Callithrix jacchus: one gene and its partners. The protein of the gene in region 2 purifies or fractionates together with the protein of the main gene of each other region. This does not show direct contact. Links are inferred from orthologs where the notes say so. Each region holds a gene or a part of one and is shown on either strand. Other genes may lie near its edges.

Evidence for each region.
Region 1: the proteins of tubulin alpha-1B chain (region 2) and CCT6A purify together in Homo sapiens (affinity purification with mass spectrometry; 3 studies listed by BioGRID and IntAct, counting the BioPlex papers as one, with this or other methods). This does not show direct contact. The link is inferred for Callithrix jacchus from reciprocal best matches to the Homo sapiens genes TUBA1B and CCT6A.
Region 3: the proteins of tubulin alpha-1B chain (region 2) and HDAC6 purify together in Homo sapiens (affinity purification with western blotting; 4 studies listed by BioGRID, with this or other methods). This does not show direct contact. The link is inferred for Callithrix jacchus from reciprocal best matches to the Homo sapiens genes TUBA1B and HDAC6.

What each region holds. Positions count from the first base shown.
Region 1 is NC_133503.1:2,641,264-2,651,439, forward strand, and holds the start of CCT6A (T-complex protein 1 subunit zeta), read right to left. Parts: upstream 5,661-10,176; 5' UTR 5,570-5,660; coding exon 5,433-5,569; exon of another isoform or gene 5,163-5,432; intron 5,012-5,162; coding exon 4,948-5,011; intron 1,510-4,947; coding exon 1,375-1,509; intron 831-1,374; exon of another isoform or gene 697-830; intron 576-696; coding exon 402-575; intron 1-401. UniProt on the Homo sapiens protein: Component of the chaperonin-containing T-complex (TRiC), a molecular chaperone complex that assists the folding of actin, tubulin and other proteins upon ATP hydrolysis.
Region 2 is NC_133510.1:70,420,056-70,430,378, reverse strand, and holds tubulin alpha-1B chain, read right to left. Parts: upstream 5,132-10,323; 5' UTR 5,037-5,131; coding exon 5,034-5,036; exon of another isoform or gene 4,627-5,033; intron 3,114-4,626; coding exon 2,891-3,113; intron 2,769-2,890; coding exon 2,620-2,768; intron 1,981-2,619; coding exon 1,000-1,980; 3' UTR 828-999; downstream 1-827. UniProt on the Homo sapiens protein: Tubulin is the major constituent of microtubules, protein filaments consisting of alpha- and beta-tubulin heterodimers. Microtubules grow by the addition of GTP-tubulin dimers to the microtubule end, where a stabilizing cap forms.
Region 3 is NC_133524.1:49,392,574-49,402,096, forward strand, and holds part of HDAC6 (protein deacetylase HDAC6), read left to right. Parts: intron 1-2,938; coding exon 2,939-3,065; intron 3,066-3,174; coding exon 3,175-3,240; intron 3,241-3,333; coding exon 3,334-3,393; intron 3,394-3,461; coding exon 3,462-3,551; intron 3,552-3,890; coding exon 3,891-3,997; intron 3,998-4,086; coding exon 4,087-4,154; intron 4,155-4,387; coding exon 4,388-4,556; intron 4,557-4,644; coding exon 4,645-4,773; intron 4,774-4,970; coding exon 4,971-5,139; intron 5,140-5,549; coding exon 5,550-5,683; intron 5,684-6,609; coding exon 6,610-6,678; intron 6,679-6,789; coding exon 6,790-6,982; intron 6,983-8,407; coding exon 8,408-8,557; intron 8,558-9,523.

The DNA of each region.
Region 1 (10,176 bases), on a different chromosome or scaffold from region 2:
CATAACCTCTGCACTGGTCTAAGTCTTTTTCTATGAGCAGAGAGAATACATTACTTGTAAACAACTGAAGTCATTGACATTTCTGAAAGCTCAATCTGTAATTTCCAGAGAATCACTAACATTCCTGTTTTACTAAAAACACTGGTAACCGGAAGCTTTGCAGGAACAAAATCTCCACTTTATAAACCTTTTAATGGAAGCTCCAGTTTTACTTTTATCGTTAGGTATACTATTATTTGAATTTCCTCATTTCAGTTTAGAGACACAGATTAGGTATCATTGCCACAAAAATGAACCTACATAGCGCCTTAGAATTGAATGGGTAAGTATACTCATGTTTCTACTATCAGAGATTTGCTACAGGTGAACTATAACAGACACAGACAAAACTTCATGCACACCTCCGTTAAGACATCTGCAAGTTCAGCATGAACTTTAGTACGAAGAGACGTTCTGGCCACATCGATAAGTGTTTCCCTGTCCATCTCTTTGCTCACTTTGACTTCTTCCAAAAACTGAAGGGCCTTTTCCTTTGCAGCTTCAAATCCTTCAGTAATTATTCTGGGATGAAGGCCCTAAAACAAACACACAATAACACTTTCATCTTCAATTACCTGCAACTATAGTTCATGATAAAGTTCAGGTAATGTTTGAAGGGATACTCTGGATCATCATACCTTTGAACACGAGGTTATATCATGTGCTGGCTTTCTGAATACATTTAAAAGGATAAACATTCCTTTCAATGCAGAGGAGAAGAACAGGCAATGCTCTAGCACAGGGTCAAGGCCAAGGGAACTATAAAGCACACTTGGGTGTTCACTGTGCAAACCACTCCGAATCATGTCAAAACCGACACTGCATCCCAGCCCACAGACGGCAGCATTAGTCTACCTTTTCTAGGAGTAATCTCAAACGAATTCACATCATTTACTAGACTCTCTGCTCTCTTTTTCCAGGAAATTCTGACAATAGATTCATACTCACTGAGGTTTGTTTTAACCTTGGAACTAGGCAGGGCTAAAAAAGTGGAATTTATCCAAATGTAGGCTTTTGGTTGGCATTTTCGTAACAAATAAATATGCATAGTCCTAAACATCCCATTTTTAGATCGCAATTATTCATCTACATTAAAGAAAGAAACAAATCACATAGGCAACGCAACTTGATTACAAAATTATTTTCAGGCCAAGAAAGGTTCCATAACCTGTCCAAGGTCACATTTGTTTTAGACCAAGACAAAGGCCCAGATTTAAGCCCCCTAATTCTACTGTATGGCCTCAGCTACTGTTAACAGCACTTCCATTTGTATACGTAAGTATCAGACACTTCCCATATACAGTAAAATAATATAGAAACAAGAGTTGTGCATACTTCAGAAACGTAGAGGTCCGCTTGTTTCAGCAGCTCTCCAATGATCAGGACGTTGGAAGTCGTACCATCACCAGTTATATCATCCTGGGCTGTTGCTACCTTTGCTATTAAGGAAGCTGTTGGGTGCTGAATTTGCTGAAAGTAGAAAAAAAAGGAAGCACTTAAAACAATATGAAGCAGTCTAAATACACCACAAACAAAATGCACGAAGGGCCTCTCTAAGTATAATCTACATGAAAAAGCTACCCAAGTGTCTGGCTACAAGTTACTTCAATTAAAAAGTCACAATTAGCTATCATGCACATGCAGTTATAACCATCAAAACATTTTCATGTGCAATTTATTTCCCAGATTATCTACTTTACAGATGAGGAAGCCTGAGGCTCAGTAAAAGTTTACTCAAGATGACAGAGCTAACAGTTAACAGTAACACATTTTACATCCTTGCCTCTTTATGGCAAGTGTAGGGCTCTGGTGAGAATAAGCCAAGTACCTCTAAAAATAAAAGCTCAACAGCCTCCACTATTACTTTGTAATGACCAACTAATTTATTTTTTTGTTGTCGTTTTTATTTTTATTTATTTATTTATTTTGAGACGGAGTTTCGCTCGTTACCCAGGCTGGAGTGCAATGGCGCGATCTCGGCTCACCGCAACCTCCACCTCCTGGGTTCAGGCAATTCTCCTGCCTCAGCCTCCTGAGTAGCCGGGACTACAGACACACGCCACCATGCCCAGCTAATTTTTTGTATTTTTAGTAGAGACAGGGTTTCACCATGTTGACCAGGATAGTCTCGATCTGTTGCCCTCATGATCCACCCTCCTCGGCCTCCCACAGTGCTGGGATTACAGGCGTGAGCCACCGCGCCCGGCCCTGTTTTTATTTTTGTTCTTTGTGACCAACTAATTTAAAAGGAAAGGTTACTTGTAGTAGCTCACACCTGTAATCCCAGCACTTTGAGAGGCCAAGACAGATGGATCCTTTGAACTCAGTAATTCAAAACCAGCCTGTGTTACATGGCAAAACTGTTTCTTAAAAAAAAAAAAAAAAAAAAAAAAAAGCCAAAAAAACAGTATTCAGAGGTAAAATGGTGTATCTGCAACTTACTTTTAAACGATTCAGGGGAAAAATAGAAAATAACTGGAGCAACATATAAACAATAGGGGAATCTAGGTAAAGGGTACACACATTATAATTATCACTTTTGGCCGGGCGCAGTGGCTCAAGCCTGTAATCCCAGCACTTTGGGAGGCCGAGGCGGGTGGATCACGAGGTCAACAGATCGAGACCATCCTGGTCAACTAGGTGAAACGCTGTCTCTACTAAAAACACAAAAATTAGCTGGGCATGGTGGTGTGCACCTGTAGCCCCAGCTACTCAGGAGGCTGAGGCAGGAGAATTGCCTGAACCCAGGAGACAGAGGTTGCGGTGAGCCGAGATCGCGCCATTGCACTCCAGCCGGGGTAACAAGAGCGAAACTCCGTCTCAAAAATAAATAAATAAAATAATAATTATCACTTTTGTAGGTTTGTCATTTTTTCAAAAAAAAAAAACTGAAAAACAGATTTCTGGAGACTAGAGAGAAGTGTTGTGGGAGGGGAATTCTGAGGTGACAGCAACGATTTATTTCTTAGCTACAGTGGTGGTGCCTGTGTCCATTTTATAATTATTTCTTTTTTCTTTTTTGTTTCTGAGAGTGAGTTTTGCTACCATTGCCCAGGCTAGAGTGCAATGGTGTGCTCTTGACTCACTGCAACTTCTGCCTCCCGGGTTCCAGCAATTCTCCTGCCTCAGCCTCCTGAGCAGCTGGTATTACAGGTGTGCACCGCCATGCCCCCAGCTAATTTTGTATTTTTAGCCAAGACGGCGTTTCTCCACATTGGTCAGGGTGATCTCGAACTCCCGACCTCAGGTGACCCACCTGCCTCGGCCTCCCAAAGTAGTAGAATTACAGGCATGAGCCACCATGCTCAGCCTATAATTACTTGAATTGTGAATGTTCAATGTGCTTCTCTCTACTTATGCTGTATTTCTCACACTAAAATCCAAATTTAATATACATATATATATATTTTTTGGAGACCGTTTCACTGTCACTCTGTCACCTAGGCTGGAGTGCAGTGGCACAATCTCGACAGGATTTTGCCCTGTAGCCCAGACTGCTTTTGAATTTCTGAGTTCAAGGAATCTACCTGCCTTGGTCTCCCAGAGTGCTGGGATTACAGGCATGAGTTACCACACCTCACTTTTCCTTTTAAATTATTTGGTCACTGCAGAGTAACAGTGGAGGCTGTTGAGCTTTCATTTTAGGAGGTACAGTTGTAAAATCTGGGTAAAAAATGCAAAACAGAAACTCCACCTCCTAAGTCAGCAAGTCCATACAAAGATATTTCAGCTGGATATCGGTGACATGGTATACTACTAGAAAAACCTTAACTATTACTCTGAACTCAAATCCGCAGGAAATAATTTCCTTTTCTTGGATTTGAATTGCTAAGTTTTGGGAATTTAGGGAAGAGTAAAACGCATACTCCCCTCAATAATCTATATTCTCCATTCCTCAGACTTTTAAAATGTTAAATCAGAGAGACAGATTTCTCTCCCTTCCAGTTGGAGATGCAGATGTAACCGAGAAATTGGTATTTTCATAAGAGAAAAACCGGCCAAGCATAGTGGCTCACACCTGGTAACCCCAGCACTCTGGAAGGCTGAGGCAGGTAGATCACCTGAAGTCAAGAGTTCAAGACCAGCCAGGCCAACATGGCGAAACCCTGTCTCTACTAAAAATACAAAAATTAGGCCGGGAGCGGTGGCTCGGGCCTGTAATCGCAGCACTTTGGGAGGCCAAGGCAGGCAGATAACAAGGTTATGAGTTCGAGACTAGCCTGGCCAACATGGTGAAACTTCATATGTACTAAAAATACAAAAATGTAGCCGGGCGTTGTGGCATGTGCCTGTAATCCCAACTCCTCTGGAGGCTGAGGCAGGAGAATCGCTTGAACCCAGGAGGTGGAGGTTGTGGTGAGGGGAGATCACGCCATTGCACTCCAGCCTGGGCGATAGATCTAGACTCTGTCTCAAAAAAAAAAACATAAAAAAACAAAAATTAGCTGGGCATGCTGACACGAGCCTGTAATCCCAGCTACTCAGGAGGCTGAGACAAGAGAACCGCTTGAACCCTTGAGGCGAACATTGCAGTGAGCCGAGATTGCGCCCCTCCACTGTATCTGGGCGACAAAGTGAGACTCCATCTTAAAAAAAAAAGGAAAAGAAAAAAACCACCCTTAAGCATCTTGCCCATGTGATTACGTCAACACCACTCCATTTTTCAAATTTTCTTATAATTAACTTTCATATACAATGACAGTCCTTTAACTCCGACTGTAAATGGCAAAAAAAAAGTAGAGATTCAAAGGCAGGGCTGTCCCACTCCAGGCACTGGCAGCACTATTACGGATTACACGCCACTTCTGAATGCTCTCCTGCCTTGAAAATGGACATTGCCAATCTTTCTACAAAGCAAACATTGTTCGGAAAATCAAGACCTTTCTGACCCAGCAGAGCACCTCTCACCATTTCGTGAAGCAGCACGTTGCCGTCTTTAGTAAGCTTGATGTCTCCGGCGCCAGAAACAAGCCTGTTTTAAGGGGAAGAAATGAATCAGACTGATTTTTCAACAAAAACTAAATTTAAAAGTCCCATTAGAAAACAGGCTTTTCCCAGACGTTAGGGAGCCGGGGATAGGGGGGCCAGTTATCTCCCGCAGGCAGGAGGACGGCAGTGCCCACCCTGTCCCAGCAGAGATTGTGCCGAGTCTTCAGGGTGCCTGGAAGCCCCAGAGGGAGGGGAACGCCGCGCACTAGAGCCGCTTTGTTCTCCACGGAGACGACATCGACGCAGGGAGAAATGGCCGGGACGGTGGGACTTAGCAGGGAACAGGACCGATCAGGAAGGACGGAGGAAAAGGTGGCTGCGGGGCCCTAGTCCGCGGTCCCGGGGCCGCCAGGTCGGCGGCGGCGCGCGATGCCCGCTCGGCCCTTCCGCCAGCCCCGCCTTACATCTTCATGGTGCCCTTGGGCCCCAGGTTCGTCCTCAGCACGTCCTGCAGGCCCCGCGCCGCGCTGATGTTGACCGCCAGCGCCGCCTGTGCTCGGGCCACCTCGGCCTTGGGGTTCAGGGTCTTCACCGCCGCCATATCGGCTCCAGTGAAGGAAAAGGAAGCGACACGGCGTGCGGAAAGCTCAGAGCCGGCGCGGCGTGGCCGGGAGGCACTATCCGGGTCTTCTGGAAAAGTCGGCGCGCCCGGCCCGCCCCCAGCGTGCCCGCGCGCCGCCGTCATTGGGCCAAGGGTCGTCCGGCGCCCGCTGATTGGTCCGTGGCTGTACAGCGGTTGAGGTCCCACCCCTCGCGCCGCAGTCCGGACGTCATTGCGCACGGGAGGGGTCCGGCAGTCCACGCGGTTAAGTGGGGCCCGGCTTTGCGGACCCAGGAGGTCGGGACGCAAGCTGGGCTTGTGCTCCGCTGGGGGCAGGGCGTAGGGTGGGCCTTCTCCCGCCCTTACTCGCGCTGTCTGCCCCTCAGTCTCCTTCCCTTGCTGTTTTTTTTTTTAAGGTGGGGTTTCACCATGATGGCCAGGCTGGTCTTGAACTCCTGACCTCAGGTGATCCACCCACCTCAGACTCCCAAAGTGCTAGGATTACAGGCGAGAGCCACCGCACCCGGCTCCCTTGCTGTTTTTATGCTTTTCATTGGCGCTTTCTGGACCGTGCGCTTGACGGTGCCCTAGGTGCCATGGGGACACAAAACGAGACTGATAAGCACCCTCCCCCGGGATCCTGCGGTGCTGTAAGGCCCAGCAAAGATGACGATAGAAAGGTGGAAAGTGCCGGATGCCTTTAGAAAGCTGCAGAACTGGTGCAATGGGTGTCGAGACCTCAGAACCTGTCCATCCGTTAGGGCTCAGGATGCTGCTTAGATGCTGGGTCCTCATGGCAGATTTGAAAACAGCCTTGTAGAGTCACGGTGTCCAGCCTTTGAGAGGCCTCCCTTTTAAGGTAAATTTCCAAAGAGCTCCACAGTTGTTCCCAGTATCCACTGTCCTGCCAAATACCAGTGATTCGGTAACACGTGATGTGTCATTTTTGTAAACACAGGGTCTCACTATGTTGCCCAGGGTGGTCTCAAACTCCTGAGCTCAAGTGATACTCCTTAGCTTCAGTCATCTTCCCACCTCGGTCTCCCAAAGTACTGGGATTACAGGCGTAAACCACCCCGGCCAGTATTTTATTTTTATTTTTATTTTTATTTACGTATTTATTATTTTGAGATGGAGTCTTGCTCTGTCGCCAGGCTGGAGTGCCGTGGCGCGATCTTGGCTCACTGCAACCTCTGCCTTCCGGGTTTAAGCGATTAGCCTGCTTCCCAAGTAGCTGGGGCTACAGGCACACGCCATCACACTCAGCTATTTTTTGTATTTTTTTTTTCCCAAATCAGCATTTATTTACCCACTGAATTCCAAAACATTTATTTTAGAAGTCTGGCATTTCATAATCACCCACCCATCTTGATTGACATGGGCTGACACACATGGCGCTGTCAGGATACACAAGGACAGTAGCCAAAGAGTTACAAAAAATAAATCTATGATTCTTTTTTTTTTTCTTCTTTTTGAGACGGAATTTCGCTCTTGTTACCCAGGCTGGGGTGCAATGGCACGATCTCAGCTGACCGCAACCTCTGCCTCCTGTGTTCAGGCAATTCTCCTGCCTCAGCCTCCTGAGTAGCTGGGATTACAAGCACGCACCACCATGCCCAGCTAATTTTTTGTATTTTTAGTAGAGACGGGGATTTCACCATGTTGACCAGGATGGTCTCGATCTCTTGACCTCGTGATCCACCTGCCTCGGCCTCCCAAAGTGCTGAGATTACAGGCGTGAGCCACCGCGCCCGGCTGGGGTGAATTCATTTCTGCCTGCACAAGATGTACTGCTTAATCAAACACTATCAGCTTGTTTTAAATGGATCTTTTAAATATCAACGGCAGCCTCTGCTGGCTAATTCTCTCCCCGCATTACTTTCGCCTGGATTTCCCATAGATCAACAGGCACAGTGAAGTGCCTCATCAGAACACAGCGCTCTGCACAATTCACAGAGGGAGCCCCTGTGGGCTGAAAGCAACCGTCAGTCCAGCAATGCCCATGATTTATCTGAAACTGCTTCCCAAGAGATGGGTGCAGATCTGAGTAGCTGTGCTAACAATACAGATAGGTTTAGCACTGGATATTTAGTGATTGTGGCAAGGAAGAATCGGTGATGATGGGGGTGGTAGGTGAAGGAAGGGCCAGGGGACCTGAAGGATCTTCAGTTGCCTTCTCCTGCTTCTTCTTCCTGCTGGTCGCTCGTCCAGAGGGTGAGGTTGTCTCGCAGCAACTGCATGATGAGCGTGGAGTCCTTATAGGAACGCTCATTTGGTGTGTGCAGCTCAGCTATGGCGTCGTCGAAGGCTTGTGTGGCTAAGAGGCAGGCTTGCTCGGTCGGGTGCCTTCTGGATCTCGCAGTAGAACACAGAGAAGTCGAGGGCCAGGCCCAGCCGAATGGGGTGCGTGGGCTGCATCTGCTCTTGGCTGATTTCAAAGGCTTCCTTGTAGGCAGGTTCAGAAGCTTCGACCACACTGCTTTTCTTCTCCCCAGAAGCGCCCTCTGCTAAGTAGCCCTAGTAATCACCTTTCATTTTCAGGTAAAACACCTTGCTCTCATACTGGAAATCACTGCAGTTCTTGACCAGGAGCTTGTCAGGCAGAGGCAGAACATCATTGCAAACTGTCTCCAGGTCCTTCTCAATCTTCCCCAGGTAAGCTTTAACCTTCCCCAATTTCTTTTCCTTTCCATCAGCCATGGTTTTCTGCTCAATGCTGCTAATGACCCTCCAGGAGGATCGCCTGGCACCAACTACATTCTTGTAAGCCACAGAGAGATTTCGATCTTCATTGGAGAGAGGTTCATCCGGCTCTGTCACCACCTTCATGGCGGAGGCCATGTCGTCGTAGCGCTCCACCTGCTCGGCCAGCCTTGCCAGCTGCAGCAGCTGCTCCCGGTCCCCCATGTCACTCGTGGCTCGGCCTCGCCTGGCGCCTCACACTACTGGCTCACTCACTTGCCCGCCAGTCCATCCGCTCTTCGGCCGCACGGAGGCCGTCCTATTTTTTGTATTTTTAGTAGAAACAGGGTTTTACCTTGTTGGCCAGGATGGTCTCCATCTCTTGACCTCGTGATCCGCCCACCTCGGCCTCCCAAAGTGCTGGGATTACAGGCGTGAGCCACCGTGCCCAGCCTGTATTTTATTTTTAATAGATAATGGAAATTGTTCTGAATTCAAAAGGCACCAAAGGGCATGTGGTGAAAATTAAATCTTCCTCCCGCCTCTAGTTCTACACTAGAGACAAGCACAGTTACCCCTGGACACTCTGAATTTTCAGAATGATTTCTGAATTTATAAACTTACGCCTGGATGTAATCATTTACCCACACAAAGGGCAATTCATAATACACTGTAGGGTGTGTTATACTTTTATTTTATTTTTTGAGATGGAGTTTCGCTCGTTACCCAGGCTAGAGTGCAATGGCGCGATCTCAGCTCACCGCAACCTCCGCCTCCTGGGTTCAGGCAATTCTCCTGCCTCAGCCTCCCGAGTAGCTGGGATTACAGGCACGCGCCACCATGCCCAGCTAATTTTTGTATTTTTAGTAGAGACGGGGTTTCACCATGTTGACCAGGATGGTCTCGATCTCTTAACCTCGTGATCCACCCGCCTCGGCCTCCCAAAGTGCTGGGATTACAGGCGGGAGCCACCACGCCCGGCCCATATTCTTTTAGGTGTTTTGGAGATTGTGGCATATCAAGACTAATGGGAAGTCCTTGTTAATAGGTACGTGATGTTCTTTGGGGCCAGGGCGCAGTGGCTCACGTTCTAGGGATCATTTGTGCCCTAGAGTTCGAGACCAGCCTGGGCAACATAACCAGACTCCATCTATGCAAAGAATACAAAAATGAGCCAGGCGTGGTGGTACGCACCCATGGTCCCAGCTACTTGGGAGACAGGTGGGAGGATCGCTGGAATCCTGGAGGCGGAGGTTGCAGTCAACTGTGATCCTGCCACTGCACTCCAGCCTGGGTGACAGAGCCAACCCTGTCTCAAAAACAAAACAAAAGAAACACAACTAACCGGTCACCTACTGACTGATGTTTAAGTTAAGTTGTTCCTAATCTGCTATTCGGGCTGCAATGAATATCTGGGTATATAATGGTTTTAGGTGGGTTTGTGTATGTGAGAATCACAAACACATCTATATATGTGATAGTAGCATTGCGCAATAGAAGACTAGTTATTAGTTGCGTAGGCATTGAATGTTATGCATGCAGATTTATTATAACTGCTGTTTAAAATGTTATGAGGCCAGGCATGGTGGCACACGCTTGTAATCCCAGCACTTTAGGAGGCTGAGGCGGGTGGATCCCTTGAGGTCAGGAGTTCAAGACCATCCTGGCCAATATGGTGAAACCGTCTGTGTAAAAATACAAAAATTAGCCTGGCATGGTGGTGCACATCTGTGATCCAAGCTACTCAGGAGGCTGAGGCATGAGAATTGCTTGAATTCTGGAGACACAGGTTGCATTGAGCCAAGATCGTGTCACTGCACTCCAGCCTGGGCAACAGAGCCAGACTCCTGAGGAAAAAAAAAAAAAAGACTGCACACGATGTTTCACACTTGTAATCCCAGCACTTTGGGACGCCAAGGAGGGTG
Region 2 (10,323 bases):
CCTACAAGTCCATTACGTGTATCCACAATACTTGAATATAAACCATGCCAAATGCTATAAACTTGTATCCTTTTACAAATGTTGCCACTTTATCTTCATGTACTGCAGACTTCTGCCACCAATGCATACAGCTTCTTGTCTGCTCGTTGACCACCGTGAATTCTGGTCCTACAACTTTTTCCTATCACAATAGGGCTGCAAATACTCCTACAGCCGTTTTCCCAGGACATTTGTCAACAAGGCTAGAGTGCAGTGTTGCAGTCACAGCTCACTGCAGCCTCAACCTCCTCAGCGTCTCAAATAGCTGGGATTATAGGTGCTTACCACCATGCCCAAATTTTTGTACATTTTTGTAGACAGGGTTTCATCATGTTGCCCAGGCTGGTCTGGAACGCCTGGGCTCAACTACCTGCCTTGTCCTTGTGCTAGGATTACAGGCGTTAGCCATCATGTCCTGCCAAGGATCACTCTTAAATTTCCTAATTACATTAACAAGGTTAGCCAGCCACTTTAAACAGCAATTTACATGATACTCAAAAATTACTTATACTTCCTATGCAAAACCCATTAGCAACTACCCATACTTTGAAAAGCTAAATGAGCTCTATAACTTTCATGTGTTTCCCCACCCCCTAAGCAAGGTTTGAGGTGGTAAACAGAATCTAGGGCTCCTGCCTTTCCAGTTCCCTGAGCTCCCTTTTCCCTACAGTGGTGCCTGCACAGAAGTAGGACCCTTGACATTACCAGAATATTGCAGACTCTTTACTCCAAGTGTAGATGAATCCCAAAAACTAAGGCACTTTTAGAAAAAACACAGGAGACAAAGCTTTTGAAGTTAATGACTTTACTTTGAGACATGATGGAAAAACTACAGGTACACATGGAAGACATGGTAACTGAGTGAAAACAATCTAACCAGAAAGCTTTAATGCCTGTCAGCTAAGTTGAAGCTGAAATTCTGGGAGCATGACATGCTGCAGGGCCAAAAGGAATGGATAATTAGTATTCTTCGCCTTCTTCTTCACCCTCTCCTTCAACAGAATCCACACCAACCTCCTCATAATCCTTCTCAAGGGCAGCCATGTCCTCACGGGCCTCTGAAAACTCTCCTTCCTCCATCCCCTCACCCACGTACCAGTGAACAAAGGCACGCTTGGCATACATCAGGTCAAACTTGTGGTCCAGGCGAGCCCAGGCCTCAGCAATGGCTGTGGTGTTGCTCAGCATGCACACAGCTCTCTGTACCTTGGCCAGGTCTCCACCAGGCACCACAGTGGGAGGCTGGTAGTTGATGCCAACCTTGAAGCCAGTGGGGCACCAATCCACAAACTGGATGCTGCGCTTGGTCTTGATGGTGGCGATGGCAGCATTGACATCTTTGGGAACCACGTCACCACGGTACAACAGGCAGCAAGCCATGTATTTACCATGGCGAGGGTCACATTTCACCATCTGGTTGGCTGGCTCAAAGCAAGCATTGGTGATCTCTGCTACAGAAAGCTGTTCATGGTAGGCTTTCTCAGCAGAGATGACAGGGGCATATGTGGCCAGAGGGAAGTGGATGCGGGGATAGGGCACCAGGTTGGTCTGGAATTCTGTCAGGTCAACATTCAGGGCTCCATCAAATCTCAGGGAAGCAGTGATGGAGGACACAATTTGGCTAATAAGGCGGTTAAGATTAGTGTAGGTTGGGCGCTCAATATCGAGGTTTCTACGACAGATGTCATAGATGGCCTCATTGTCTACCATGAAGGCACAATCAGAGTGCTCCAGGGTGGTGTGGGTGGTGAGGATGGAGTTGTAGGGCTCAACTACAGCCGTGGAAACCTGGGGCGCCGGGTAGATGGAGAACTCCAGCTTGGACTTCTTGCCATAATCAACTGAGAGCCGTTCCATGAGCAGGGAGGTGAACCCAGAACCAGTTCCCCCACCAAAGCTGTGGAAAACCAAGAAGCCCTGGAGACCGGTGCACTGGTCAGCCTATTACAAAAGAGAGGAACAGAGGAAAGATTAAGTTTTTGTTCTTCGTAGTACAGTCATAGTAAATATATTTTCATTTTTCACATATCTCCCAGGACTTAAATCTTATTTTAACAAATGCTTTTTAGAAAATTCTCATTAACATTTACAAAATGACACAAAATAGTTCATTTTAACTGAATTTTTAAAACCCCAAAGGAATAACTCATTCCACTCTTTACTAAAATAACAGTTCAATTCTGTGTTTAAAAAAAAGAACAAACAGCATTATGGCCGGGCGGGGTGGCTCATGCCTGTAATCCCAGCACTTTGGGAGGCCGAGGCGGGTAGATCACGAGGTCAAGAGATCAAGACCATCCTGGTCAACATGGTGAAACCCTGTCTCTACTAAAAATACAAAAAATTATCTGGGCACGGTGGCACGTGCCTGTAATCCCAGCTACTCAGGAGGCTGAGGCAGGAGAATTGCCTGAACCCAGGAGGCGGAGGTTGCAGTGAGCCGAGATCGCCCCATTGCACTCTGGCCTGGGTAACAAGAGCGAAACTCAGTCTCAAAAAACAAAAAAAATCCCCAACAAAACAGCATTATTTCAAATGTCCTTTTAAGGCAGATTAATTTACTTTATTCTTGAAACATACCAGTTTACGAATTCGGTCCAACACGAGGTCAATGATCTCCTTGCCGATGGTGTAGTGCCCTCGGGCATAGTTATTGGCAGCATCTTCCTTGCCTGTGATGAGCTGTTCAGGGTGGAAGAGCTGGCGGTAGGTGCCAGTGCGAACTTCATCTGGAGGAGGGACAGGAGGACAGAAGGACTGGGTGAGTGAGCGAGTAACCAGCAGATCCCCCAGGACAGACCTCCTGTCCCAGCACCCTGGGATCTCACTTGGGTTACCGAGGCCAACTCACCAATGACCGTGGGTTCCAGGTCTACAAACACTGCCCGGGGCACGTGCTTGCCAGCACCCGTCTCACTGAAGAAGGTGTTGAAGGAGTCATCTCCTCCCCCAATGGTCTTGTCACTTGGCATCTGGCCATCGGGCTGGATGCCATGTTCCAGGCAGTAGAGCTCCCAGCAGGCATTGCCAATCTGGACACCAGCCTGGCCAACGTGGATGGAGATGCACTCACGCTGTGGGAGAAAAAAATACATCACAACTTAATCTGTTGGTGACTGTCAAGTGAAACAAAATACTCATGCAATCTTTATTTTTAGTGATAAGTTCTGTTGCTTAGGTTTGAGTGCAGTGGTGCCGGTTCATCGCAGCCTCAACCTCCTGAGCTCAAGTCATCCCCCATGCAATCTTTATTTTTAGTGATAAGTTCTGTTGCTTAGGTTTGAGTGCAGTGGTGCCGTCCAGGTTCATCGCAGCCTCAACCTCCTGAGCTCAAGTCATCCCCCTACTCCAGCCTCCAGGGCAGCTGGGACCACAGGCACAGGCCACCACGGCTGGCTTATTTTTTCTTTTTTGGAGGAGATGAGTCTGGTTATGTTACCCAGGCTATCACATAATCTTAAAAAAATTTTTTTTTCTTTTTTAAAGCGACATAAGATGTATTACTCTTTTGAGAACAGCTACATTATAGGGTCTATATCGCTTTTAACGCATGTTACCTTCCCATTAATAAACGGGGAAGGCCTTCTTCCAGATCACGACAGCTTAGTCACAGCTTCCTCCTTTGGAGGACCAAGACAGGAGGGTGGGCATCCATCCAGCGCTCCGGCCCCAGAATCCCACTTTAGATTGAGTGGCCACATTTCCGGGCAGCTCCTAGCACAGGAAAAGCACGTGGCCAGACCAGCGCAGAAATGTCTGTCCGCAGGGACAAGGGGTGGGGCTATGCGGCACAGGATGAATGAGCAATTCAGGGCGCGCGCTCCCGCGCCCCCCGGGGGCGCTGCAGAGGCACGAAATGGCCACGTCTGCAAAGGCGCTGCCCAGGCTGCCCATCCTCCCTTGCCTGCCGGCATCGAGCTCAGCCTAACACCTCCACAGCAGTCTGAGCGCAGTAGGGGATTATCGGCGGCCCAGATCTGAACCAAGATCCGATTTCCGTTCCCTCAAAATCCCTCACTGGCACCACCTGCTCCCCAGAATTCCCAACGCAGCAGGGAGAGACAGGTGGCCTCTAAAGGCTGTTGTGAACTAAGTGTCCTAATACACTGGTGTAGTGCGGTACACTTCCTCACATTCCTCTTATTGCATTTTTTAATTTTTATTTTTTGAGATGGAGTCTGGCTCTGTCGCCCAGGCTGGATTGCAGTGGCACGACCTCTGCTCACTGCAACTTCCACCTCCCAGGTTCAAGCGATTCGCCTGCCTCAGCCTTCCGAGTAGCTGGGACTACAAGGCGTGCACTACCAAGTCCGGCCAATTTTTGCATTTTTAGTGGAGACAGGGCTTCACCATGTTGGCCAAGCTGATCTCAAACTCCTGACCTCAGGTGATCCACCCCGCCCGGCCCCTCTTACTGCTTCCATTTAAAAAAAAAACCCTCAGGTCAACAAGAGACACGCCCTGAAGCCGTAGTCGCGCCGCCACCAGCGCGCATGCGCAGACCGCAGTGGTGGTTTCCCGCCCTGCAGCGGCGGGAAGGTAACGGTCGCGCGTGCGCGCTTTTGTCTCCAGCGCCTTCCCACCCCCGCTTTTCGCGATCAAGAGGAAGTGAGGGCTAGAAGAGTCGGCGCGCGCGTCCACCCAAGGCGGGGGAAGGGCATGCGCTGTAAAGGACTGCTGGGACTCGAGGTGCCGCGCCCAGGACAGAGTTACGCGCTAAAAGAGAGCTCCGGATAAGGCGGAGGGCTGAGCCCTCCCATCCCTTCCAGAGTCTGAGAAGAAATCCTGGCGCCCCTCAACCTTTCCGGGCCCCCGCCATTTACAAAGACCGAGGTCTCACGACTCCGGATCTGGCATCTCGTCCCGCTTGCCGCCCTTCAAACGGACGGCTCTGGGGCCAGCCTTCCCCCGCTGTATACAGGCTCCCCCACACCCCGCCGACTCGCGTATCCCTGCTGCCCTGAAAGCGGCCGGCAGCCGCGCGGCCCACTCACCATAGTGGCTAGGGATTAGGAGGCGAAGGCGACAGGAGGAGACACCGGGTCCCGGTTACCGTCCCCGACAAGCTAAGAGTCGAGGTAAGTAACGCACTGGGGCGGGGCGAGCGCTGGAGCCTCTTAAGTAGTGGCTGCGGAGGGGCGGGCGGGCACAGGCGGTGCCGCGGCCGGGAGCCCCTCCTCCGGCCCGGCGCGCCCACTCGGCGCCAGGCCTGGCCGCCGCAAAGGCGGGCTCCAGCCCCGAGCCCCCTCCCCTCGCGTGGCCGCGGGGCGGGGTCCGCCGCGCCTGCGGGCCGCGCGCGCCAGTGCTGCAGTGTGCGGCGCATGGCTGCGAGGGCCTGGCGGGGGGGCGGGCGCGAGTCGGAAAGACACCGATCGCGGAATGGGCGAGGAGGCTTGCCTTAATTCGCAGGAAGCCTAGGACTTGGGAGAGCCATACAATTTGAAAGATGAGGCACCGTGAAATGCAGAAACTTGTGGTTCGGATAGCTCAGCTGATTAATTTCATGTTGCCACTGTTTGTGAGTTTTGCCTTTTTATTTTCTCAGTTCGTTCTGTGCTTACCTGATAATGTGAAAAACACGAGCTTTAGAAAACCGAGTAGGTGTACTTGGTTTACTGTAATGACTTGTTCTCGAAAGTTAGGGTACCAAACGCTGGAGGCAAATAATATTTCAGTCATTCGAAGAACAGTGCCCGAGCATTTAACATTGAAGCTGTTAAAAGGGCAGAGTAGGCCCGAATTTTGGATCGAAGCCATCAACTTTATGGAACAGTCCTAGGGGCTTTTTGAAAAGGAGATTTAAAAACACATTTCAGAGGTGATAGCCGAGTTAAGGAAGTGAGAAAAAACTTGGATAGGGAGGAAATAAATGGACACTGAAGGATGTTAGGAAGTAGGGATTCCTTGTGCAACTTAGAGTTTTGTAAATAAGACTGCTTGGCCTTATGTCAAGATACATCAGTTGGTTATAGCTTAGCGCTTGGAGGCCTACGTTATAGTAGACTAGTTCTCCCTCCGCCCCGCCCCTTGAAAATCTATTTCAAGACCATAAACCACATTGCTAATCCTTGGAAATGCAGAAGAAGGTGGTTAGGTTTAAAATGTGGCTTTAAAATGGTCCTAGCAGAAACCTATTGATGTTACTATTCAAAATATCTGCCCAGTATATAGGAAACAAAAAGGTAAAACCTAAAACACTAGAAATTCATAGTTCATCTTCAGTTATTAGCCTATTAAGATTTGGTAAAGCCTTCATCCTTCATTTCAGACAAATAAATTTATGTGGTTAATAAGTGTGTATTTTGTAATGAGTTATGTGTGTGTATGTGTGTGTGTGTGTGTCCACCCATCTGAACTTGACCTGCAAACCAGGAGGTTCTTGTTTATTTCTGGTAAATATTTTTGATAGTCTTATTAAAGGCATTTAATTCAAAAATCCAAATTTGCACACATTTTTCCAGCTGAGTAGAGAAGGCTGGAATGTTTGAATATTGAATATTCAATTCAATATTCAGTTCTCACTTATTTTTTCCTCTTATTCTTTAAAAAAAAAATTAAGCCAGTTAAATTTAGAAGTGGGGGGTTGTATACCAATTTTAGTGACACTAATGTTAATAAGTTCTGATAACCCACTCCCATTGGACCACCCCCATTGTTACTTTTTCTTAAAAGGAGTCTGAAAATAATTAGTTTGCTTTAACTGGAAGAACGAATGTTAGGGAACCACCCTGCTGAACTCCATTTTGCTGTCAGCTCTGGATAAAAGCTATTTTATCCAGAAAAGCTATCTCTGTGCAGAAATTTTGAATAGTTTAGGAACCAAAATAGGTTTCTAGACATTCTGAAGCCACCCTTCTACCCTAACCACCTTACGTATTTCCAAGGATTAGTGATGTAGTTTATGCTCTTGGAATAGATTTTTCTGGGGGAAGGGAGAACCTCCCTTGTAGCTCTCTGCAGATTATCAGAGTCACTACTGCAGGGATTTGCTCCTGTGGGCCTATATGTCTCCCTAGATACCTTTCTAAAATTATTAGCTTTGTTATCTCTGTATTCCCCTGTAGTGAATAAGGAAGTATTTTGTTTTTGTTTTTGTTTTGTCCTTAATAATACGTCAGATTTCACAGAATAATCAAAGTAAAAGAGAACTTTATTTTTTGACCGAAACTCTGTATCCAAAAAAAAAAAAAAAAACAAAAAACCATATGTTGTTATTCAGTATTTGAACATCTGAACATTTTGTTGTCTAAGGAGTTTGTTCTTGCCGGCATTATTAAACTGCTTCCTTAGCTGTGAACACTGTATGACTGTGGGTTGTGTCTGGAAAGGAATATGATTTGCTAGTTGTTTTTGTTTTTTTTTTAATTAGCTTCTCATTTTCTTATACTTGCCTCAGTTTCCTCATCTAGTTTTAATATGGAATTGATTTTGAAATTGTGTTACCCAAGCTCTTTTTTTTTTTTTGATAAGGATTCTCACTCTGTCGCCAGGCTGGAGTGCAGTCGTGCGATCTCAGCTCACTGCAACCTCCGCCTCTTGGGTTCAAGCGATTCTCCTGCCTCAGCATCCCGAGTAGCTGGGACTATAGGCATGTACCACCATGCCCAGCTAATTTTTGTATTTTTAGTAGAGACAGGGTTTCACCATGGTTGCCAGGATGGTCTCGAGCTCTTGACTTTGTGATCTGCCCATCTTGGCCTCCCAAAGTGCTGGAATTATGAGCTGTGGTGCCTGGCTTTTTTTTTTCTTTGAGACAGAGTTTCACTCTTGTTGCCAAGGTTGGAGTGCAGTGGAGTGATCTCGGCTCACTGTAACCTCCACCTCCTAGGTTCAAGCGATTCTCCTGCCTCAGCCTCCCAAGTAACAGGGATTACAAGCACCTGCTACCATGCCCAGCAAATTTTGATATTTTTAGCAGAGAGGGGGTTTTACCATGTTGGCCAGGCTAGTCTTGAGCTCAGGTGATCCTCCCACCTCGGCCTCCCAAAGTGCTGGGGTTACAGGCACGAGCCACCGTGCCTGGCCAAGTTACCCTAGCTCTTATGTTCCTGTTTCCCTAACATAATACCTCCTCTACTTATGAGAGAACTCCTAATATTAAGGGGAGATGAAGGTCATTTTTTGTAACTTCTTCCTGCTGAGAGTGGACATTGATCTTTGGGATAGGATTCTCTCATAAGGATTTGCAGTCAGCTTCACGATGTTCTGATGGTTCTTTTCTTTGTTCTTTTTTTTTTTTTTTTGGACAAAGTTTTGCTCTGTTGCCAGGCTAGAGTGCAGTGGCATGGTCTCAGCTCACTGCAACCTCCACCTCCCAGGTTCAAGGGATTTTCCTGCCTCACCTTTCTGAGCAGCTGAGAGTACAGGTACACACCGCCATGCCCAGCTGCTTTTTTTTTTTTTTTTGACACAGAGTCTTGCTCTGTCACCAGGCTGAAGTACAGTGGCGCAATCTCGGTTCACTGCAACCTCTGCTTCCTGGGTTCAAGTGATTCTTCTGCGTCAGCCTCCCAAGTAGCTGGGACCACAGACACGTGTCACCATGCCCAGCTAATTTTTGGATTTTTAGTAGAGACGGGTTTCACCATGTTGGCCGGGATGGTCTCGATCTCTTGACCTCGTGATCCGCCCACCTCAGCCTCCCAAAGTGCTGGGATTACAGGCGTGAGCCACCGCACCCAGCCTAATTTTTGTATTTTTAGTAGAGACAGGGTTTCACCATGTTGGCTGGGATGGTCTTGATCTCTTGACCTCGTGATCCACCCGCCTTAGCCTCCCAAAGTGCTAGGATTACAGGTGTGAGCCACCACACCTGGTGATGTTCTGATGATTCTGTGGGCATAGCCCTGCCCAGTATTGGAGAAGTAAAAATCTCTGGATGTCTGATCTGTGGTACCTAAAGGCAGGATGTCTGTATTTCTCAGGTTAGAAGATGGTATGGGTTGGAAGCCTTCTGCCAACATAATCTTTATGTGGGATTGTTGTAATCTAGTAGACACAAACTTCACCAAAGTGTTAAACAAGCAAGGGCCAAAGACTAGTAATAACAAGATAGCGATCAAAGGTCCTAGGAAGAGGAAAAACCAGTTGAGACTCAGGAGGGTGCTTTTTTTTCCTTTTTCTGTTTTTCTTTTCCCCCAGGTAGGGTCTTGCTATGTTGCCCAGGCTTGATTGAACTCCTGGCCTCAAGTGATTCTCCTGCCTTGGCCTCCCAAAGTGCTGAGATTACAGGCCTGAGCTACTGAGCCTTGTCTAACCTCTAAATCTCTACTTTTATAGGAGGTTTTTTTTTTTTTTTTTTTTTTTTTTGGAGACAGTGTCTTGCTCTGTGGCCTATGCTAGAGATGGAGAGCAGTGGTGTGATCATGGCTCACTGCAGCCTTGACCTCCTGGCTGAAGCTATCCTCCTACCTCAGCCTCCCAAGTAGCTTGGACTACAGGTGCCCAGCTAATTTTTGTATTTTTATAGAGGACAGCCATGTTTCCCAGGCTGGTCTCGAACTCTCCTTGCAGGCATTATTAAGCTGCTTCCTGTGGGGCACAGTGGCTCACACTTGTAATCCCAGCACTTTCGGAGGCCAAGGCGGATGGATCACCTGAGATCAGGAGTTCAAGACCAGCCTGGCCAACATGGTGAAACTCCATCTCTACTGAAAATACAGAAATTAAACAGGTGTGGTGGCAGGCACTTATACTCCCAGCTATTCAGGAGGCTGAGACAGGAGAATCACTTGAGCCGGGGAGGCAGAGGTTGCAGTGAGCCGAGATTGCACCACTGTATTCCAGCCTGGGTGACAAGAGCAAAACTCTGTCTCAAAAAAAAAAAAAAGCTACCTCCTTAGCTGTAGACATCTTTTGACCATGGATGATGGCTGGCAAGCAATGTACCTTGCTAGTTTTAAGATGGAATTGATTTTAAAATTATGTCATCCTGGCTCCCCTATACTTCTGTTTCTCTCTCTTTTTTTTTTTTTTTCTGAAACAGGGTCTCACTCTGTTGCCCAGGCTGGAGTGAGTGTGGCAGTGGGATCTCAACTCACTATAGCTCTACCTCCCCAACTTAAGGGATCTTCCCATCTCAGCCTCCCAAGTAGCTGGGACAATAGGCATTGCCACCACACCCCGCTAGTTTATTTATTTTTTTTGTAGTGATGGGGTTTCTCCATATTGCCCATGGACTCAAACTCCTGGACTCAAGCAATCCACCTGCCTTGGCCTCTCAAAGTGCTGGGATTATAGGTGTGAGCCACCACACCCAACTGTAACACATTTTAATGCCAGAAA
Region 3 (9,523 bases), on a different chromosome or scaffold from region 2:
TTTTTCTCCTGTGTTCATTTTTTTATTCACTTCTGGCTTCTGGAATTGAATGCTTCAACATTTATCAACTCATTGGCCAATCTCATTTCATCTATACCTGTACACACTGCCCTCTTCCTGTTTTCCTTCAAAGCTAATCCCAGATACCACATAATTCTGTAAATATTCCAGAATGCATCTCTAAAACATAAGTATACTTTTTAAGAAAAGCATTACCTAAGTATCATATCTGAAAATTAACAAGAATTATTCTGCCTAGGCTCTGCCATCCAAAGAATCCTTTAATATCATTAATCATTCTTTTTGTTTGAATAAATGCATAGGAGGCTATAGCTGTTTGTTCTTTTGTGGGTACAGTATTTTTTTTTTTTTTTTTGAGACGGAGTTTCACTCTTGTTGCCCAGGCTGGTGTGTAGTGGCACGATCTTGGCTCACCACAACCTCCACCTCCTGGTTTCAAGTGATTCTCCTGCCTCAGCCTCCCAAGTAGCTGGGATTGCAGGCATGTGCCACCATGCCTGGCTAATTTTGTATTTTTAATAAAGACGGGGTTTTTCCATGTTGGTCAGGCTGGTCTTGAACTCCCAGTCTCAGGTGATCCACCTGCCTCAGCTTCCCAAAGTCCTGGGGTTACAGGCATGAGCCACTGCACCCAGCCTGTGGGTACATTATTGACTACACACACAGATGTAAAACATTGTGAATATATTCAGTACATTGTTCCTTATGAACAAAAATGTATAAACAAACAAAAAAAAGCATGTCCATGCTCTTAGGTCTCCCAGCTCCACATCTCTGTCTCTGAATTCCAGCAGCAGGGAGACAAACTAGGCAGCCCTTAAAATGCTGTTGTGAAGACAAGGAAAACAGATGATCTAAAACTAAGTAGTTAAAAGAAAGAAGTGGCTGGTGCATTGGTGATTCAGTGAATTGGCTCTTCAGAAGGGGTTTTGTGTGCATTGACCTGGATCTGTACTGGATTTCTCTAGGAGGGAAACTTCAGTTTATCTTTGGTGCCCCCTTCTCTGCATGAGACAGAGCACCCTGGGGCCCCTGGAATCTCAAATTCTACTTTCTAGAAATTCACTGAAGTCTCTTATTCTCTGACATCCTTTCTTCCACTCTCTGTCTTTTTGGGTTGCTGTTTATTTACAATATCTTTACTGTATTTTGACCAGAGTGGTAGGAGTGTAAGGAGGTAAACCCGTACTATCAATCCACCATTTAATTTGAAGGTGTATAAACTTATTTTAAAATTCCCTTCTGTTTCTTTATAAACGTAGCTTCCTTGAGTGCTAGTTCTGCTCTTTGTTGATTCTGATGGCTCTCTTTTAGAGTCAGCTTTCTTCAGATCTTTTCTTTATTCCTGTCTTCCCCTGATGATAATTTTTTTCTTTTTCTTTTTCTTTTTTTTTTTTTTTTTTTTTTTTTGAGACAGTCACACTCTGTCACCCAGGCTGGAGTGCAGTGGCCCCATCTTGGCTCACTGTAACCTCTGCCTCCCGAGTTCAAGTGATTCTCCTGCCTCTGCCTCCCAAGGAGCTGGGATTACAGGCTCACACCACCATGCCCAGAAAATTTTTTGCTATTTTTATTAGAGATAGGGTTTTACCATGTTGGCCAGACTGGTCTCGAACTCCTGGCCTCAAGTGATCTACCCACCTTGGCCTCCCAAAGTGCTGGGATTACAGGTGTGAGCCACTGAGCTCGGCCCCCTGTTCATAATTTTTATGTCCTACTGTGCTTCTCTTTCTCTTATGATTAACTTACTAAAAGTTTAGAATCAAGATTTATCTATCAATGTCAAAAATAAAACAATCATCCTTCACCCACTCAAGACCAGAGCTTTTCCATGTTTTTATTCCCAAATTCCAAGATCTTTTCCCTCAATTTTAAGAATCTTTTTATATCACTTGCATTAAATTTTACAACTACATTATCAACACATTAAAACGTGATTCTTAATTTGTTTAGATACATTGCATACCACTATTTCTTGGATTTCCTTAAAAAAGCTGCCTTGGATCCTCTCTGGGACAAGGCAGGGGTAAATGACCAGATAGAAGGAGAGATGGATGATAGATTATTCGTTTTGCTTTCCACAGTCAGAATTAAGCCCTCCCATGGCCCCTTGCTGGGCATTCTGTCAAAGCATGTGCACTGCATCTTTTCAGTATCTGTTTTGCGTGTTGATCTCACCCCTCTTAAGTGCTTGCTGGTTCACCTGTAAAATAAAAGAAGTAGTAGAGGTGGCCTGTAAGGCACTGGGGAGAGGGAACTGCCCTCTCACTGGCCTCATGGCAGCCCCAGCCAGTATCCCCTCTCCAGTTTCACCCACAGAAGCAAGTCTCACCCCTACCCCCCAGGTCTCTCCACTTCCTTCTAGAGAATCACCCAGCTCCTGCAGCCTGGCTTGAGGTTCTTTTCAGCCTTAGCTGGCTCCCCCCAGCTAAGAGCCCCATGCACCATTTGAGCCTCCAGTGTCACAGAGTTTGACCTGCTGTTACTGCCTTGGTCATAGGCGCATATGGTGGGTGAACATGATCTAGAGTACCCCACAGAGTCAGGAGCCCCCAGGATCTGGGATAGACCCTAGAGCTGAGCCTGAAATTGGGTGGGCACTGAGGGGGCAGTGATATTTGCTGAGGGAAAGGTTCTGGTGAGAGACTAAGTGAATGAGTGAATGAGGTAACAGATAAATAAGGGGAAAAATGAATAAATGGTAAGATGGGTAAATTGGTGACTGAATATAAGGGTAAACTAATGGAAGAATGGATTCATGTATTATATATTAATGGAGAAATTAATGAATGAGAGAATGAATGAGTCGTTGAATGGGGAAATGAGTGGTAGAGGAAATTAGCAACTGTTGGGTTGAGGGTGTCTATGGGGATTGACTCTTCTCCAACTCTCTTACCTCTTTTTCTTCTGCCCCCAGTGTCCTCTATTTCTCCATCCACCGCTACGAGCAGGGTAGGTTCTGGCCCCACCTGAAGGCCTCTAACTGGTCCACCATAGGTTTTGGCCAAGGCCAAGGATATACCATCAATGTGCCTTGGAACCAGGTCAGTATCCACTTACCCTCTGCCCCCAAAGTGAGGCCCAGCCTCGCCCTTCTGCCTGTGGCTCAGGGCAGGTGGCTGAACATCCCCTGTCACACTCCTGTGTCTGCAGGTGGGGATGCGGGATGCTGACTACATTGCTGCTTTCCTACACGTCCTGCTGCCAGTCACCCTTGAGGTCCTGGGGGTCTGGGGTGTGTTGAGGGGAGGAGAGACCTTGAAAGTTGGGCCATGAGGGCAGGTAGCCTCATGGAGTACATTCCCCCCTCAGTTCCAGCCTCAGCTGGTCGTGGTGGCTGCTGGATTTGATGCCCTGCAAGGGGACCCCAAGGTAAGGCAGGCTCCCTGGGGCAGCAGGTGGGCTGCATGGAGCCAGGCTGACCCTCCATGTCCCCCCAGGGTGAGATGGCCGCCACTCCAGCAGGGTTCGCCCAGCTAACCCACCTGCTCATGGGTCTGGCAGGAGGCAAGCTGATCCTGTCTCTGGAGGTGAGTGACTCACCTTTGTCCCTCAGCCTGTGGATCCTGGAGGGCTTAAGAACGAAGCTTTCAAGTCCAACAGGAGTTCCTGGCCGAGCATTTCACTTACTAGCTGGACAGCCTTGCATAAGTCACTTCACTTCTTTGTGTCTCCGCTTTCCTTCTGTAAAACGAGCATAATAATGGTAATCATCTCATATCATTGTCCAGTGAATTCAGTGAGGTCCCCTTCTAAGTTCCTTGTTGCTTGACATTTGGTATGCACTCTCTTATTATTATCATTATTATTATTATTCCCTGGTAATTTCTGGTCCTTTACTGACCCCCCTTCACAACTCCTTCCCCCAGGGTGGCTACAACCTCCGCGCCCTGGCTGAAGGCGTCAGTGCTTCGCTTCACACCCTTCTGGGAGATCCTTGCCCCATGCTGGAGTCCCCTGGTGCCCCCTGTCGGAGGTGAGCCCAGGTGGAGGAGGGGAAAGCAGGAGCCTCACTGGCTGCCCACGTTTCTTTGCATCATATTTTCTTCCTGTCCTGCCCTGTAGTGCCCAGGCTTCAGTCTCCTGTGCTCTGGAAGCCCTTGAGCCCTTCTGGGAGGTTCTTGTGAGATCAAGTAGGAAGTGGGGAGTGGGCTTGGTGGGGGTGGGCATAGGATGAGCCCTGGGGGAGACTTCAGACTTCCTCTGACTTTCTTAGGCCATCTTGGTGGGAGAGGGTCAGGCCCTCTGTCTCCCTGGGCCCTGGTTTCAGACCTCCCACCCTTTTTCTGTTTGGGTCACCTGAGTTCCAGAGTATGACGGGGATTCAGATTGAGAGGGTAGGATGAACGTGGCCTCCCCCTTATAGCTGATACTGTGGAAGGGGACAACGTGGAGGAGGACAATATAGAGGAGAGCGAGGATGAAAGACCCTGGGAGCCCCCAGTGCTTCCAATCCTGACATGGCCGGTGCTACAGTCTCGCACAGGGCTGGTCTATGACCAAAGTATGATGAATCACTGCAACTTGTGGGACAGGTAGGCAGTTGGAGGGCTGGGTGAGTAGGTGTTGGGGATTCCTCCCTCTCAGGCACTAAGCCCCTACCTCTGGTTCCCCCACCGCTAGCCACCACCCTGAGGTACCCCAGCGCATCTTGCGAATCATGTGCCGTCTGGAGGAGCTGGGACTTGCTGGGCGCTGCCTCACCCTGCCACCGCGCCCCGCCACAGAGGCTGAGCTGTTCACCTGCCACAGGTCAGACCCCAGTGTCTAGGGTGGGTGGGTTCCCAGGACTGTGGAGGAGGTCTCAGGGATTGGAGCTTGGAGTTCCTCCCCACTGGGGAGCTGCTACAGGACTTGAAAGGAGCTGAAGTTCCTATCTTGGGGGTGGGGCTCAGGAAGGGGACGAACCCTCCTCACTGTCTTGCTGGTGCTCCTCTCTGTGCCTCCAGTGCTGAGTATGTAGCTCGTCTCCGGGCCACAGAGAAGATGAAAACCCGGGAGCTGCACCGGGAGAGTTCCAACTTTGACTCCATCTACATCTGCCCCAGCACCTTTGCCTGTGCACAGCTTGCCACTGGCGCTGCCTGCCGCCTGGTGGAGGCTGTGCTCTCAGGAGAGGTGCGTGCTCTGTGGGCTGGGAAGAGGAGGACCTGAGGGAGAATAGAAGAAAAAGGGTCACTTGCTGTTTCTGAAGGCTCTGAGAGAGTCAAGCAGTGCCTGAGGAAAGGGGCCATGGGGAAGGGCACGAGAAGGGGCAGGCCTAGAGGCTGGGGACATAATGGAGGGAACTGGAGAAAGGGAAGGGAAGGATGGCCAAGTACGGTGGCTCAGGCCTATAATCCTAGCAATTTGAGAAGCCAGGGTGAGCTCAAGAGGTCAAGGCTGCAGTAAGCCATGACTGTGCCACTGCACTCAAGCCTGGGTGACAGACAGACCCTGTGTCAAAAATAAAAATAAAAAAGGGAAGCAAGGAAGGAGGACAAGCTTGAGGGCAGGCTGTCCAGCCTTAGCACCCTGCTGCTCCCTAGGTTCTGAATGGTGCTGCTGTGGTGCGTCCCCCAGGACACCATGCGGAGCAGGACGCAGCTTGCGGTTTTTGCTTTTTCAACTCTGTGGCTGTGGCTGCTCGCCATGCCCAGGCTATCAGTGGGCATGCCCTGCGGTAAGGACTCCCTGTGGACCCCCAAATCCTGATCCTTGTGGAGATCTGGAAGCTCCCCCCACCCCATTGCTTACTCATCATACCCCATGGTCCAGCTCCTAGGACTTCCCCAGAAAGAAGTAAGGGTGCAACCTTTACCCAGAGAAGGACCGAGGATGGAGCCTCTCAGTACTTATTTAGATAGGGCCCCCAGATCGTGTCACCTGGGTGCTTATAAAACAGGATCCAGGTCTGGGCACAGTGGCTCACGCCTGTAATCCCAGCACTTTGGAAGGCCGAGGCAGGTGGATCACCTGAGGTCAGGAATTCAAGACCAGCATGACCAACATGGAGAAACCCATCTCTACTAAAAATACAAAAATTAGCCAGGCGTGGTGGTGCATGCCTGTAATCCCAGCTACTCAGGAGGCTGAAGCAGGAGAATCGCTTGAACCCGGGAGGCGGAGGTTGCAGTTGAGCTGAGATCATGCCATTGCACTCCAGCCTGGGCAATAAGAGCGAAACTACATCTCAAACAAACACACACCAGGATCCAGGGTCCCACCCTAGCATTTCTGGCCTATAGAAGCTGTCTCGACAGAACCCAGGTCCAAGCTCCCGATGCATACTCCAGAAGACCCAGAACTCAGCCCCCAGCATTAGCTGCCCGAGGTCTAGGTCCAGTTCCCTAGCAATGACCCAAAAGAGCCCAAGGTCCAGTTCCCTAGCAATGACCCAAAAGAGCCCAAGGTCCAGCCCCAAGCACTTGCTCGGGTCTACGAGACAGCCCTTGGGACCCCAGGATCATACTTTTCTCCTTAACTGACAGGACCCAGTGTCCTGCCACTCCACACTAAATATCTCTGCAGACCCCAGGGGTCTAGCCCAGCCCTCTTCCACGGGGTGAGTATCCTAGGTTACTGAGCTTCTGCCTCCTTCCTACCCAGGATCCTGATCGTGGATTGGGATGTCCACCATGGTAATGGAACTCAGCACATGTTTGAGGATGACCCCAGGTAAGATGCTGCAGTCAGGGGCTGTGGTGTGGTCAGGGAGATGGGTGAGCACCTCAGGGGTATTGGAGCCCCTAACCAGCTATGGCCCCCTTCCCACCCCCTCCCCGGCAGTGTACTCTATGTGTCCCTGCACCGCTACGATCATGGCACCTTCTTCCCCATGGGAGATGAGGGTGCCAGCAGCCAGATCGGCCGGGCTGCAGGCACAGGCTTCACCGTCAACGTGGCATGGAATGGGCCCCGCATAGGTGATGCTGACTACCTAGCTGCCTGGCATCGCCTGGTGCTTCCTATTGCCTACGAGGTAAAGCTCAGTGTAGATCTCAGGATGTATGTGATACACCTGTGCAGGTGGCAGCCTGGGCCTGCCTCCTCAGCATGTGTGCGTTTGACTGCCAGGTGGCGGATCATATGAGACAGCCCAAGGGTGACTAATGAGGCTACTGGGGCAGTTGATGACTGTGATTACCTTGTGTGTTTGACCACACAGGTGGCTGTACAGGACTGCCTTCTCTGTGTGACACTGTGTGAGTGACTGTCTTGCCTGTGTGTGTGAGGGCCTTCTGGCTATGCAGCAGTGGCCTGTGTCCTGGCTGGATCTGTGTTGTATATGTGTGCTATCACAAGTTCTTTAGTATGTGTGTGCAATTCTGTGCAAGTGGGTATTTCTCACCACCTTTTCTCTGTGCGATGGATGTGATATTGTATGTCACTAAATGCAGCCATCTCTATGACAGCCTGTATGGGACCCTCTGGATGTGGAGGGCTGTGTGTGACAGCAGTCACTGTCTGACTGTCTGCCCTGGCTGTTTGTGTATGTGTCTCTGACTGGGAGGTAGCTGCCTTCCCTCTGTGTGAGCTGTGGGGCGGGGGGGTCAGTGGCTTGTGTATGGCTGACCCTGGGAGGGAGGGGAAGGAGGTGTGAGCACTGCTCTGTCACCCTGGGTGCCAGTGTGCATCTTTGGATCTGCACGTGCATCTGACTATGCATGGGTGGCCAGGACAGCCTTCTGTGTGTATACAACTGTATGTGCAAGTGACCAGCTCTTGTGGACACACCAGAGTGCATGTGGCTGTTGTGGCTGTGTGGTGATGGCATGTGTATGATTGTGACTGCAGGATGGCTGTGGGTTATTGTCCTTTTTAAGAAACTATGTATGTATGTGTGCGCATGACTAGTGCAGATATGTAGTACTGTTCTATATGGGACTGTCTGTGTGGGATTACACGTGGCTTTGTGTGACCATCTTCTCTGTGTGTGGTGCTTGCGTTGCCATCTTCTGTTATGGAAGTGTGTGAGCACCCCTCTTTGGCACTATGTACATAAAACCCTGTATCTTGTGTATGTGTGTCCCACGTTTGACCCTGGGGTGTGTGTGTGAGGACATGTCTCTGTCTCTCCATTTCTCATGTCAGTCTCTTGACATCTGAGTCTGGTCTCATGACTCTGTCTCATGTCCCCATCTGTCCATTTTTGCTGTCTCCATGTTTCTAGATCTGCATCTGTTTCTTCTATCTCTGAGTCTATATTTCTCTTCTTCCTCTCTTCATTTTCAGTCTCTGCTTTTGCATCTCCCAGTCTTCAGGCCCCGTGTCTCCATCTCTCTGATTTGCATCTCCATGTCTTCATTTGTCCTTTTCTCCATCCATGTCTCCTTGTCACCACCACTTACTGCCTACCAAAAGCCCTTACCCTCATGCTTATACGTCTCTTCTCTCCCTGCCTCAGTTTAATCCAGAACTGGTGCTGGTCTCAGCTGGCTTTGACGCTGCACGGGGGGACCCGCTGGGGGGCTGCCAGATATCACCTGAGGGTTATGCCCACCTCACCCACCTGCTGATGGGCCTTGCCAGTGGCCGCATTATCCTTATCCTAGAGGTAACTCTCTCTTGGTAACCTTTTCCCACAGTGGGAGGGTAGTTTGGGAATCTTGGCACTATCATTCAGTATAGTTTCCTAAAATCTCCTTTAAGTGTCCCTGCCTGGAATTGTGGGCACACACTGGGTAGTAATTGGGTAATAATAATAAGAATAACAGCAACATTAACAGCTTTGAGTGCTCACTGTGTGCAAAGCACTCTTCTGAGCACTTCATGTATCTTATTCATTTAGTTACTTGGCAAAGCAGCCTTATGAGGTAGGGTTAGCTTTTCCCCTCTCAAGATCAGGGAAACTGAGGCACAAAGAGGCGTGATGACTAGATGACTGAAAGAAATGTGCCTGAGATGGCACATTTACTGATGGCAGAACCAGGACTTGAACCGATGCAGCGTGGCTCCAGGGTTTGTGTTTTTTACTGTTACCTGAACTGACTCTAACAAGTTCCTGGGACAAAGAAAATTCACTGACCTTTGTAAGTGACTCGGTATCCCCATGCCCTGTGCCTCAGTTTCCTCATCTTTATGAGGCTGGCTAATCATGGAGGAGTGCCTGGCATATAGTAAATGCTGGATCTGGTAGATCTGTTTTTTTTTTTTTAATTGAGACAGAGTCTCGCTCTGTCACCCAGGCTGGAGTGCAATGGCGCAATCTGAACTTACTGCAGCCTCCACCTTCCAGGTTCAAATGATCCTCCCACCTCAGCCTCCTGAGTAGCTGGGATTACAGATACCCATCACCACGCCTGGCTGATTTTTGTATTTTTAGTAGAGATGGGGTTTCACCATGTTGGCCAGTCTGGTCTTGAGCTCCTGGCCTCAAGAAATCCACCCACCTCAGCCTCACGGAGTGCTAGAATTACAAGTGTGAGCCACCACACCTAGCCCCTGGTTACTGTTATGCATTGTTCAGATACTAACCCGCTCAGCAACCTTCTGTGCTGTTATTTTCACTACTTTACAGATG